3 linked regions of the Cricetulus griseus genome follow. The protein of the gene in region 1 purifies or fractionates together with the protein of each later gene. This does not show direct contact. Links are inferred from orthologs where the notes say so. Each region holds a gene or a part of one and is shown on either strand. Other genes may lie near its edges.

Evidence for each region. Proteins that work in one complex are often made in the same cells at the same time.
Region 2: the proteins of Hnrnpa2b1 (region 1) and Hnrnph1 purify together in Homo sapiens (affinity purification with mass spectrometry; 5 studies listed by BioGRID and IntAct, with this or other methods). This does not show direct contact. The link is inferred for Cricetulus griseus from reciprocal best matches to the Homo sapiens genes HNRNPA2B1 and HNRNPH1.
Region 3: the proteins of Hnrnpa2b1 (region 1) and Hnrnph3 fractionate together in Homo sapiens (co-fractionation; 3 studies listed by BioGRID and IntAct, with this or other methods). This does not show direct contact. The link is inferred for Cricetulus griseus from reciprocal best matches to the Homo sapiens genes HNRNPA2B1 and HNRNPH3.

The regions. Positions count from the first base shown.
Region 1 is NC_048601.1:89,866,011-89,870,228, forward strand, and holds the start of Hnrnpa2b1 (heterogeneous nuclear ribonucleoproteins A2/B1), read left to right. Parts: upstream 1-1,344; 5' UTR 1,345-1,558; coding exon 1,559-1,564; intron 1,565-4,147; coding exon 4,148-4,183; intron 4,184-4,218. Other genes in the region: translation initiation factor IF-2-like, read left to right, coding at 1-731. UniProt on the Homo sapiens protein: Heterogeneous nuclear ribonucleoprotein (hnRNP) that associates with nascent pre-mRNAs, packaging them into hnRNP particles.
Region 2 is NC_048600.1:64,840,989-64,844,599, forward strand, and holds the end of Hnrnph1 (heterogeneous nuclear ribonucleoprotein H), read left to right. Parts: intron 1-237; coding exon 238-297; coding exon of another isoform or gene 298-327; intron 328-388; coding exon 389-478; intron 479-1,182; coding exon 1,183-1,275; intron 1,276-1,680; coding exon of another isoform or gene 1,681-1,730; intron 1,731-2,318; coding exon 2,319-2,437; 3' UTR 2,438-3,071; downstream 3,072-3,611. UniProt on the Homo sapiens protein: This protein is a component of the heterogeneous nuclear ribonucleoprotein (hnRNP) complexes which provide the substrate for the processing events that pre-mRNAs undergo before becoming functional, translatable mRNAs in the cytoplasm.
Region 3 is NW_023276806.1:273,843,567-273,847,180, forward strand, and holds part of Hnrnph3 (heterogeneous nuclear ribonucleoprotein H3), read left to right. Parts: intron 1-2,584; exon of another isoform or gene 2,585-2,587; 5' UTR 2,588-2,609; coding exon 2,610-2,721; intron 2,722-3,209; coding exon 3,210-3,348; intron 3,349-3,614.

The sequences.
Region 1 (4,218 bases):
GTGGTCAGCGCCTCCGCGGGGAGAAACAAAGGAGGCGGCGGCGGCTCAAGGGCAGCGCCAGCAGCGCACGCCTCCCCCTCCGGCGGCCGCCACGTAGCGGGGAGCGCGCTGCAGCTCGGGCCTGGGGCCTCGCGGCGGCGGCGGCGGCTCTAACGTTATCCGCGCCCGCCGGCCGCGGCGCGGCTGGGGGAGGGGACCCGCGCGCTTTGTCTGGAGGCCCCGCAGCTGTCATCGCTCTCCCACCCTCGGCACGACTGTGCCGTCCTCCCCGTGCAGCGGCGCGGCGCGGCGCGGCGCGGCGCGGCGGCGCCTCAGCCAGGCCCCGCCAAGCCTCCTCCCCGCAGCAGCCCCGGGTCCCGGGGGCCCACGGCGGGGGCGCGGGGGCCCGCAGCCTCCCCGCAGGGAAGCCGGGCGCACGGAGCATCCCCGGCCCCGCCGCGCCGCGCCGCGCTGCGCCACGCGCGACCAGAAAAGCAAGGCACCGACTTCACCGCTCAGATGCTCCGGGCGCGGATCCTGCAGAGTCTCCCGGCTGCGCGCCTCAGCTCAGCCACATCCGAGGGGAGGGGGCGCGGGCGCGGGGCGCGGGCGCGGGCGGCTCGGCCGGGGGGGAGGGGAGGGGAGGCACCGCCCACGCCCAGGCCGCGCGGGGCCCGCCGGGAACGCGTCCTGCGGGGGGCGGCGTGCGCGCCACTCACCGTCCGCGGCGTGGCGCCTTGGGGGTCTCCTGAGGGGAGGCGGGCGGGACCGCCGAGGCCGCTCTGCGTCAAAGCCCAGCGCGCCAAAGCCGGGCTCCGCCCACCTCCTCGCCCCGGGGCCTGCGGGGCTGGGGAGCTTCTGAGCACCGCCTCTCACGGGGCGCGGGGGTCCCAGGGCCTCGGGTGCCGCCGCGGCAGCCGCGCTCGGACTGCACCCCCCCTGGGGGACGGGCACAAACAAACAAAGGCCGGCGCGCCTCGAGAGGCCCGCAGCGAGGATCGGCGAAGGCGTCGTCGCCGCAGGGAGTGCGGCCGGGGTGACGAGGGCCTCACGCCTGAGCGGCGACGCAAGCCCCGCCCGGCAGCGTTAATTTCAAACTGCGCGACCGTTTCTCCGGCTCCTTGCGCGGAGGTGTGGGGGGGGAGGGCCGGACCTCACTCCGGACGTAGTAACACGTTGGGCGCGCGAGCCTTCCGCAATTCACCAAACGCGGTTGCGCAAGTGACGTAACGCGGCCTCGCTATCCCGGGAGGGGGAGGGCGCACGCACCCGGCGCAAAAGGCGTGTCGAGGCCCTTCCCGCCATTGGCGGCGGTTAGGACGTTTGCGTAACGGCCTGACGTAGGCGGAGACGCGTTAGTGGGGGGAAGGTTCTAGAAAAGCGGCGGTCCCGGCTCCAGCGGCAGTAGCAGCGGCGCCGGGTCCTGTGTGCAGGTCTTTCCCCCGCGGCGCGGTTTCTCGAGCGGCGGCTGCTCTTCCCCCCCCACAGCGTCAGGACGAGTCCCGTGCGTGTGCGTCCGCGGAGGTCTTTCTCATCTCGCTCGGCTGCGGGAAATCGGGCTGAAGCGACTGAGTCCGCGATGGAGGTAACGGGTTTGAAATCAATGAGTTGTTGTTGGCGAGGGCATGGCGAGGCCGCCGTGGAAGCCGGCCACCGCCGCGGCGGGCGGGCGGGCGGAGGGAGGGAGAGCGGCCGCCCGAGCGGCGGTTGGCCCGGGGGCTCTGAGAGGGTCGTTGGCGGAGGCCCGATTGTCCGAACGCCTTCCCCGCCCTCAGCCGCCCGGCGCCATTTCCCTGAGCCGGGTGGGGGATGGGGCCCGGCCGCGGCCAGCGGCTCGTCCTCCGCAGGGGCGCGGGAGCCCGGCCGGCCTGGTTCCCCCGCGGGCCGTGCGCGGGCCCCGGGGCCCGGGGCGTGTGCGCGGCGGAGCGTTCGTTCGGGCGGCCACCGGGTCCCCTGGAGCGGCTCTGCGCGGCTCCCTCCCCCTCCCTCCCTCCTCCCCCCCGGGAACCGGATTTGGCGGCCGCCATTTTCCCGTCTCCTTGCTCGCAGCGGTTTTTCGCGTCCCGCACTCTGCGGCTCTGCCCGTTCGGCCCCTTCCCCCCCGCGTGGGAGCCATTAGCTGGTTTCCTTTGTCCCCGGCCCGTTTTGGTGGCGTTCCGAGGGGGATCTGGGGTGTTTTGAGCTCTGATCTCGGAGTCCTGCGCACCTCGTTTTAGGCGCTCCGCCCTCCTTCCCCCTCGACGAAATGGCGCCATTGCGCTCCCGAGCCACACGGTGTGCGCGGCCGGGTGGGGGTGGCGGCGGCCTCCGCAAGGGTTCCCGGCGCAGGCCCCGGGCGAGGAGTGCGATCCGGGCCTGAGCCTGCTGCTGAAGGCAGCCTTGCAGCAAAGAAACCATTTTACTTCCCCGAGCTGGCTCCTAATTCCTTTAATTAAGCGATTTGTGAGTCTGCAGTTGTAAAAGGAAGCCCAGAGTGCTCAGCTGTAGTTAGAAGGTGATCTTGGGCGGAGGGATATTTTTTTATTGCTGCGTATGTTTATTTTCCTGAAGGATCCTGATGTTTGAAATAATTCAGATTATGAGGATTTTAAAGGGAACCACAGGATTTGTTCCTAAAACAACAGATCTTTACGCGTGATGGTCACGTTAGGGAAGAGAAAATAACTTTTCGTAGTTCACCTTTGATTACAGCATGGAACAGTCCAGTATTAACGCAGGAACCTAGCTATGTAAAAACTTTTATTTGGGACACAATGTATTTGAACTTTGTCATTTGCTTTTTTCTGATTTATGTTTGCAAATGGTTGATTATTACATTGATAAGCATAAGGTTTCAAATTAAAGGGGTCTACTTGGTTATATTCTTTGACCCTAAGCACGTTTATAAAATAACCTTGTTTATAATCGATAGTGGACGTCGGGTAAGTTTGGAAAAACCTATGAGGTAAGTAATAAGCTTTTGCTTTTTGTTAGTGACATTAAAAATGGTAAGTTTATGCTTACAGTTTGAATTTAAAGATGGCACATCTGTGGACATTTATCTAGAATTGCCTGGAAACTTGGATTTCCAGTCATACTAAGTATTTTACACGTCCTATTTTAATCTTTAACCTATTTTGTCTACTCAATTTCTCCAAATTTCAGAACCTGAGAAAGGGCATCGAACAAAATTTTTACAGACTTTTTTTGAAGGAACCTTAATAGATTTGGGTTGTAATAAGAGTTGTGGAAATTTTTTGTGTGTTATGAATTTTGTCTTTTCAGTTTGTTATGCAATCAAGACAGGTCCTGGATAGTATTACCCAGTTTATAAGCATCTTGGTTTTTAAGCTGTTTTATTTATAAGTCAGTAATAACACAACTTTAGTATTTACTTCAGGAAATTACTATTGGAAATTTTTGAGAGATTTGTCAGAAGGCCACTAATTACTAAAAGGAAAGTTAAGCCAGGCGTTGGTGGCGCACGCCTTTAATCCCAGAGGCAGGCGGATATTTGTGAGTTCGAGGCCAGCCTGGTCTCCAGAGCGAGTGCCAGGATAGGCTCCAAAAAAAATGTAAAGTAACTGTTGGGGCAATAGCAACTGTAGATAAATGTGTGCTTCTTAGTACTGTAGCCTGAACACCAGACAAGGAGTGCCTCCCAAAAAATTAGATGGAATAAATTTTGCTAAGTTAAAAGAAAACTATTTTGAGGTGGTGCGTATATCTGGTGTTCAACTTTACTCATGGAACTTCTTTCAGAGTTGAAGGATCCCCCATTGAAATAGTTAGTCTAACTCCAGGGTGGGGGGGCAGTTTAAGGAAAGGCAGATCTGCCACTACTCTGAAATTGAATCCTGAATTAAGCAGTGGATATCGAAATTTCAGGGTTTTTTTTTTTCAATTTAAAAAAATAAGTTTGAGCAAAGTTCTGTGCTTGAGTTGTAGACTTTAATAAAGAATTTCATAAGAATTCTTTGATACCCTTTAAATCAGAGTTGGTTATGGTTTTTCTCAAAGGTTTTTAAGAAAGTGTAAGCTAAGGTAATTTATATGAATTAAAGTTAGATCAAATATTAGTGACTTTAAAACTTGCATAGTTCAGCTGAGGCAATTTTTGGTGTAACACAACTAATATGCAGTTTAACATATGGTTTAAATTTGATGTAAGTTTTTTTTTTCCCCCCAGAAAACTTTAGAAACTGTTCCTTTGGAGAGGAAAAAGGTACTCTGCCAGCAGGTCACCTCATATTTAAGAAT
Region 2 (3,611 bases), on another chromosome or scaffold:
TAGAATAGTAAGGATATATAGGAGAGATTTCATTAGTTGGGTAGCTTGGATGTATTGACATTTTGGGATTTGTAAATTTTTCCTTAATTGATAGTGTTTTAAAAGCTAGTTCTTAAGTTCTAACATGGGAGTTTTCTTTTTCTTTTCACCAAAACATTTGTGATTCACAAGTTACTTTTAAATTGCTTGTTTTCTTTTACCAACAAACATTTTCAAACTTTTTTTTTCTCATTTCAGAACACAGATATGTAGAACTCTTCTTGAATTCTACAGCAGGAGCAAGCGGTGGTGCTTACGGTAGCCAAATGCTAGGAGGCATGGGTTTGTGTAAATATCACTTTAGTGTCTTTTTTTAAGCTAACCTTGTATGCCTTTTCTCTCATTTCAGAACACAGATATGTAGAACTCTTCTTGAATTCTACAGCAGGAGCAAGCGGTGGTGCTTATGGTAGCCAAATGATGGGAGGCATGGGCTTGTGTAAATATCGTTAGTTTTTTTAAAAACCAAAACATTTATATCTGTATAAGTAGTTAATAAGCTAAGTTAATATTATAATTAGCATAAGAGTTTGTTACCATAATAATTTTAAGCTACAATAAAAATATTAAGTTAGCAAACAAATTCAGGCAAAGTAAATTTTGTAATTACTATATTAAATTACTAAAATCTTGTAAATAACATAAACCTGCTTAGGATAGCTTACTTAAAGTAGATACAAGTACTTTTGTTTGGGGGAGGGGACTATTGATTGTGTTATAGTATCTGTCTATAAAGTGTAAGTTTAAAATACTTAACAAACATAAGGTTTAAAATTTTTATTTGGTAACATAATTACTTGGGCATAATTAACTAGGTGTTCATTGATACCTGTATAATATCTAAATATATATCAAGCTAAGGGGGAAACCCCACTAAAGTTTCATAAGATGATCAAAAAATGCCTCTACTTAGTGAATCATGTGTACTTAGTCCTCAACCCTTTGGTTTATAAACACTGAGCTAGCTAAAATGATGAATATAAAGGTTAATATGGTCATAGACAGTCTTGTCATAGACAGTAGGCAGGAGACAGTAATTTAAGATCAAGACTGGAAAATCGTAGACATAGAATTACAAGCCCGGTACCACCAGGTACCACATTGGATAAGGAGCAAAGCTCTAATGTTCTCTTAACTTAACAGCAAACCAGTCCAGTTACGGTGGCCCAGCCAGCCAGCAACTGAGTGGTGGTTATGGAGGTGGCTACGGTGGCCAGAGCAGCATGAGTGGATATGGTAAGTTTTTTTTTATATACCTAGAGTAAGTTTTAGGTTGGTTTGTCTAGTTGGGCTCCTTTTGAAAAGAGGAGGGGTATTAATATGGTTTTTATTACAATTCTTATTAGTATAATTTACAGAAAGTCATTGGGAGGAGGGGGATGTATCCTAGTAATTGCAATTTTGGAATATTGTCAAGGCAGAAAACATCTCTGTTCGTTTATTAAAATAATTAGCTTGCTTTTCTGTTGTAGCATTAAATTTTTTGGAGGGTAATTTTTAAATATTAGGCTGGTGGTTGGGTTCAGGACAGTATTTTACTAGTCGGTTAACCTAGGGATGGTTTTATTTATTTTTTTTTCAATTGGTCTAAAGAATGGTGATTTTGGTATTATAGTCTTACCCTACAAAATCCTTTTGCAGACCAAGTTTTACAGGAAAACTCCAGTGATTTTCAATCAAACATTGCATAGGTAAATATTTTCTCAAAAAATAATTTAAATTCCCAATAGCAAAGACTGATAATGTTGTGATAACACTTTTCTATAGCAGTCAGTGACTCTGACTTAACTCCCTGGAGGCTGCCATTTTGGGCACAGTGAGTTGCCTTTAGTCCAACTTTTGTCCTCTCACTTCTTGCCCACCATGAATAGGCAAAGCAAAAGACTTCCCCTGTGTTCCCTATTCATACACATCATTCGATGAACACATAGTACATGTTTATGGTAAATTTTTAAATGCTTTGTTTAGCTTTAAAAACTTGGAAGTAATTTTGCAATTTTTGAAAAACACTAGTTTTCCTTTAAACTTAAAATTTCCACGTTGATCCTGAAGAATCCACTTAAAATGGTAGCACAAGAGTCTGGCAAGTTGGTACTGCAGAGAAAAGGGTTTAATTGAAATTTGTTTGGAGTCGGGATTCCCTTTTCCCAACATGCTTCTCGCCAATTGGACAGCAGCCATTTGCACTCGTATACCTTTTAAACTTTTTCTTGGAATGTTATTTTATTTGATTGGTTATTTGACACTATTCCTAACTTGTCAAACTGATCTCTTTGCAGGTAGCCAAGGAGCAGTGAACAGCAGCTACTACAATAGCGGAAGCCGTGCATCTATGGGCGTGAATGGAATGGGAGGGATGTCTAGCATGTCCAGTATGAGTGGTGGATGGGGAATGTAATTGATTTTGATTGATCACTGACTCTTGGTCATTTTTTTTTTTAATGGAAAAAAAAAAACCTTCAGTTTAACAGTTTTGCAATCCAGCCTTGTGATTTATGTCTACTCTCTTAAGTGAACATTGGCATCACTCAAAGGACTAAGGTTCAATGTTGAATATAGTCACCTAGGATGATGATACAGTGAACTATAACTGTTAAACAATTCCCAGCTTTTCTCTAGTTACTGTAGGATGTGTGTAAGCAGTAAGCGTATTTAGGTTAAAGCAGTTGAATTATGTTAAATGTTGCTCTTATACATACATTACATTGAACACTGTTGATGCATGTTGAAAAGACATGCTTTTTTGTAAAACTCTATAGGAGCTGCGTCTACAATTAAAAGTGAAACATTTGGCATGTTTGTTCTAATTTCATTTGATAAACCTGTAAGGCACGTGAGTTTAAAGCTTTTCTCTTTTTTTTTAAGTTGATGGAGAAATTTTGAGACGCAATACCATTACTTTAGGATTTTTGGTCTTGGTGTTTGTATGAAATTCTGAGGCCTTGATTTAAGTCTTTCATTGTATTGTGATTTCCTTTTAGGTGTATTGCGCTAAGTGAACCTTGTCAAATAAATCTTCCTTTTAAAAGCTACACCTTGTCGTATCTGTGCTTCAGTGTCATGTGATCTTTCTTTGGTGCTTTATTCCTACCTGGGGTCATATTCCATGTCTCTGACTATGATAGAAAGGCTGGGCTACATAGAGAAACTGTGTGTGTTTTGAGACAGGGTCTCTAACTGCCCTGGTTGTCCTGGAACTCCATAGACCAGGCTGGCCTCAACTCAGATCCTCCTGCTCTGCCTCCCTGGTGCTGGGATTAAAGGTGTATATCAACACCACCCTGGGAGAAAAACCTCGAAAAATAAAAACAGAACCAAACAGAAAACCCAATAACTTGGAGACAAGGTCTTACTGTGTAGCCTTGGCTGGTAGAAGTAAAAATTCCTACAAGTAGCCTCTGAACTTCATTTGTAAGATGGTATATCCATATAGACAACAAAAATGAACCTTAAAAAAGTTTAATGCTGGACATGGTGGCACATGCCTTTAATCCAAGCACTAGGAAGGCAGAGCACTAGGTAGGAAAGAGATCCTCTGACCTCCAAAGTAATGCTGTGGCTTTACTGACTAG
Region 3 (3,614 bases), on another chromosome or scaffold:
TGAGAAAATAGTGGAGATCTTCAAAAATATTCTGAGCATTTATTTCAAGATTGATTTGGTGCTGTCTTTCAGGGATACTCTAGAATGGTATTAGACATCAAAACACCTTTAATATTTTCTTGTTTCTTTTCAGGACTGAATGGCTTTCAGATACAGTTGAGATTTTGTTGAGTATCTTACTGGTTTTACAACAGTGGTTCTCAGCCTGTGCGTTGACTTAAGACCATTGGAAAACACACATTTACGATTCATAACAGTAGCAAAATGACAGTTATGAAGTAGCAACAAAAGTAATTTTATGGTTGGGGATCACCACAACATGAGAACTGTATTAAAGGGTCGAAGCATTAGGAAGGTTGAGAGCCACTGCTTTATAGGATCCATAAAGTCAAATTGTCAAAGGTGAATGTTCATCTGAAAGCAGAACTATAGAATATAAGTATTCTTGTAAAATACAGCAGTGGGTGCCAATACCTCACTGACCTACTGCTGTTTTGTTTTTGAGACAGGGTTTCTCTATCCTTGATTATCCTGGAACTCTATATAGACCAGGCTGTCCTGGAACTCAAGAGTTCCTGCCTCTGCCTCCCAATGCTGGGATCAAAGATGTTGCTACCACCCAGCAACTACTGCTGTTGTATGTAATAGTGAATAACAGGCTCAGAAATTAAATGTTTTAAGCCATTGAAAGGTGCTTGAATTAGTGAGCCATTCAACCCCATGCTGGGTTTTTTTTTGTTTGTTTTTGTTTTGTTTTGAGATAGTCTCACTATGTGGACTAGGCTGACTTTGAAATCACTGTCTCCTAGATGCTGGAATTAAAGACATGTGCTACCATGTAGGGTCTCGTGCTTTTTTAAAAGCAAATGCACCGAAGACTTAGTTATAATGCCAGTTTTTAAGTTGTGTTTTCACCATTTTGGTTCTACCAAGAGTGGTACTTTCCATGGGCTTTTAAAGATGGGTCTGGATTTTCTTTCAGCAGGGTTTAAGGTTCAGTCACGAGTACACACAAAACACATGCTGATGATATACACATGTAGAGGAGAAATTAAAGATTGGCTTACTTTAATGCATGTATTATTTGGGAAAGATGTTTAGAATGTAATCCAAGGGTTGGCACATGGTAGACATTCTGTCATTGAGCTATATCCTTGGGTTCGTTGATGCATGAATTCTAGAAGAAATTTATTCCCTTCTCTCCACTCCCCCCCCCCAACCCCGGTTTTTTTGGAGACATTTTTCCTCTGTATAGCCTTGGCTGTCCTGGAACTCTGTAGACTACGCTGACGTTGAATGCATATTTCTGCCACTATTCCAAGCTCTAACTTTACATTTATTTATTTATTCATTCATTCATTCATTCAAGACAGGGTCTCACTGTGTAGCTTGACTGTCCTGGAACGTATTATGTAGACCAGGCTGGCCTCAAATTCACAGAGATCCCCCCTGCCTCTGCCTCCTGAGTGCTGGGATTAAAGGGTGTGCACTACCACAGCCAGGGCTTTATTTTTAAGGGCAGAGTCTGGCCTTGAACTCTTGAACCTCTTGTCTCAACCTCCCAGGGCTAGGATTGTTATAGTGTGCTACCATATGATTTTAAGAAAATTAGAATTAACTCTCTGTAGATCCACCTCTAACTGATGATATGGAATTAACCATTAGTGAATGGTGTTGATATAGCTTCAAGCCTAAAGGAATCATTTTAAAAAATTGTTTTGTTGACAGGGGAGGAGGTGGTGAGGGAAAGATTGGAATATTCAGGTGAGTAGGATTCCCACATCTGTGTAGTGAAATAAGCAAGGGCTGGTAAGTTTCCACAGCTTCAGAACTTCTGCATTAGTCTCTAAAAATATTCTGGAATTTTAGAAGGAAAGTGGCTGCCTCTAGGGAATGGAACTGGCTAGCTTGTGTGTTCCTTGGAGGATAGAGGGGGCTTCATGCTGTTCTCTTTAAATACCATGTGAGTGTTAATATGCTGTCTTTGGGTAAAGTGTTTAAATCTGATTGACTAAAAAAAGGGGGGGAGGTATGTATAGTGGTGACACTATTTCCAGCACTCTGGGGCTGAGAGAGGCAGGCAGGTGTCTTGTGATTCAAAACCAGCCTGGTTCTTGGTCACCAAGTCTTAACACCCCCACCTCCCCAAATGTTACTGTTGAAAGGTACTCATCTGAATGTTTGTTGAAGTAGTTTCCTTGTAGTCCTAGCTCGTCAAACTCAATCCTTCTGCCTTAGCTCCCAAGTACAAAGATCTTGGGCATGTACTTACTATCATATTCCATATAGCATTTGGTTTTGAGGCGCCTTTTACTTGTTTTCCTGTGGTTTCGAGGCAGGGTTTTCTACAACCCAAATGATAGAATTCAGCAAGCTTTTATTAGACCTTCAGGGATGTTTGGTAGGAGTGGGGTGAGTTTCATTGCCTTTCCCTACCCCACCCCAAAATAGAGTGTTAGTACTGTGTTGCTGGTTGTTGTAGGAGTCGGCTTGCATGCATTCTGTGCTGGGATACTTGTGAGAGGTGTTCAAGTCATGGTAAGAATGTGTTGTGATTGACTGCTTTATGTGCTTGTTTATTTCATAGCATTTAAGTCAAGCGTATTGAAATGGATTGGGTTATGAAACATAATGGTCCAAATGACGCTAGTGATGGGACAGTGCGGCTTCGAGGACTGCCATTTGGTTGCAGCAAAGAGGAAATAGTTCAGTTCTTCCAAGGTACCTCTAGTACTAGTCAAAGTTTAGTAATATTTTAATTGTATGTGTTTATTAGATGTTTTTTAATTTATAAAACTCATTTTTGGGGTCTTCTGTGATAATCTGGGTTATATTATAAAATGGAAAATGTGCTCCAGTTAATATTTAGTAGAGAATGTGTAGGCTATGTAAACGATGATTGCTGTACAATATAGTTAATTGAGAATAACTGATGACGTGGGTTATGAGTTAGCCTTGGGAGCACAGTTAAATGATAATGTAGTTTTTCATGTAGTGGGCTTTTAGAACTATAATTTTTAAGACACTGATCACAGAAAATATTTAATCCAATGATATTTGAAAAATATTCCATTTGTATTATGGGGTGATGGGGAACTAAGCGTTTTGTTTTGTTATGTTTAGACTTGTTTTAAATATTTGATTCAGATGGGAATGTTTCAGCCTTTAACACTGTTCCCCTTGATGGGGTATTTGTCCTTGGGTTAAAGGGTTGGAAATCGTGCCAAATGGGATAACATTGACGATGGACTACCAGGGGAGAAGCACAGGGGAGGCCTTCGTGCAGTTTGCTTCAAAGGAGATAGCAGAAAATGCTCTGGGGAAACACAAGGAAAGAATAGGGCACAGGTGGGGATGGAGAGTTTGGGATGGTGTTAAATTTTTATTTTTGGGGGTTGTGGGTCACTATTGCTTAAATGGGGGGGTAACCATAACATTTTTCTGGGGTAGTATTAAAGAATTGATAATTACCTAAATTTAACATGGAAACTACAGATTTGGGTGGGGAAATTAATGCTAATAGTTTAAATTAAACTTAGATTGTTTCCATTTCTTTGTAGGATGTCATTAAATTTTGTATAATCACCTGTTTTTCTTATGTACCTATCTTGTGC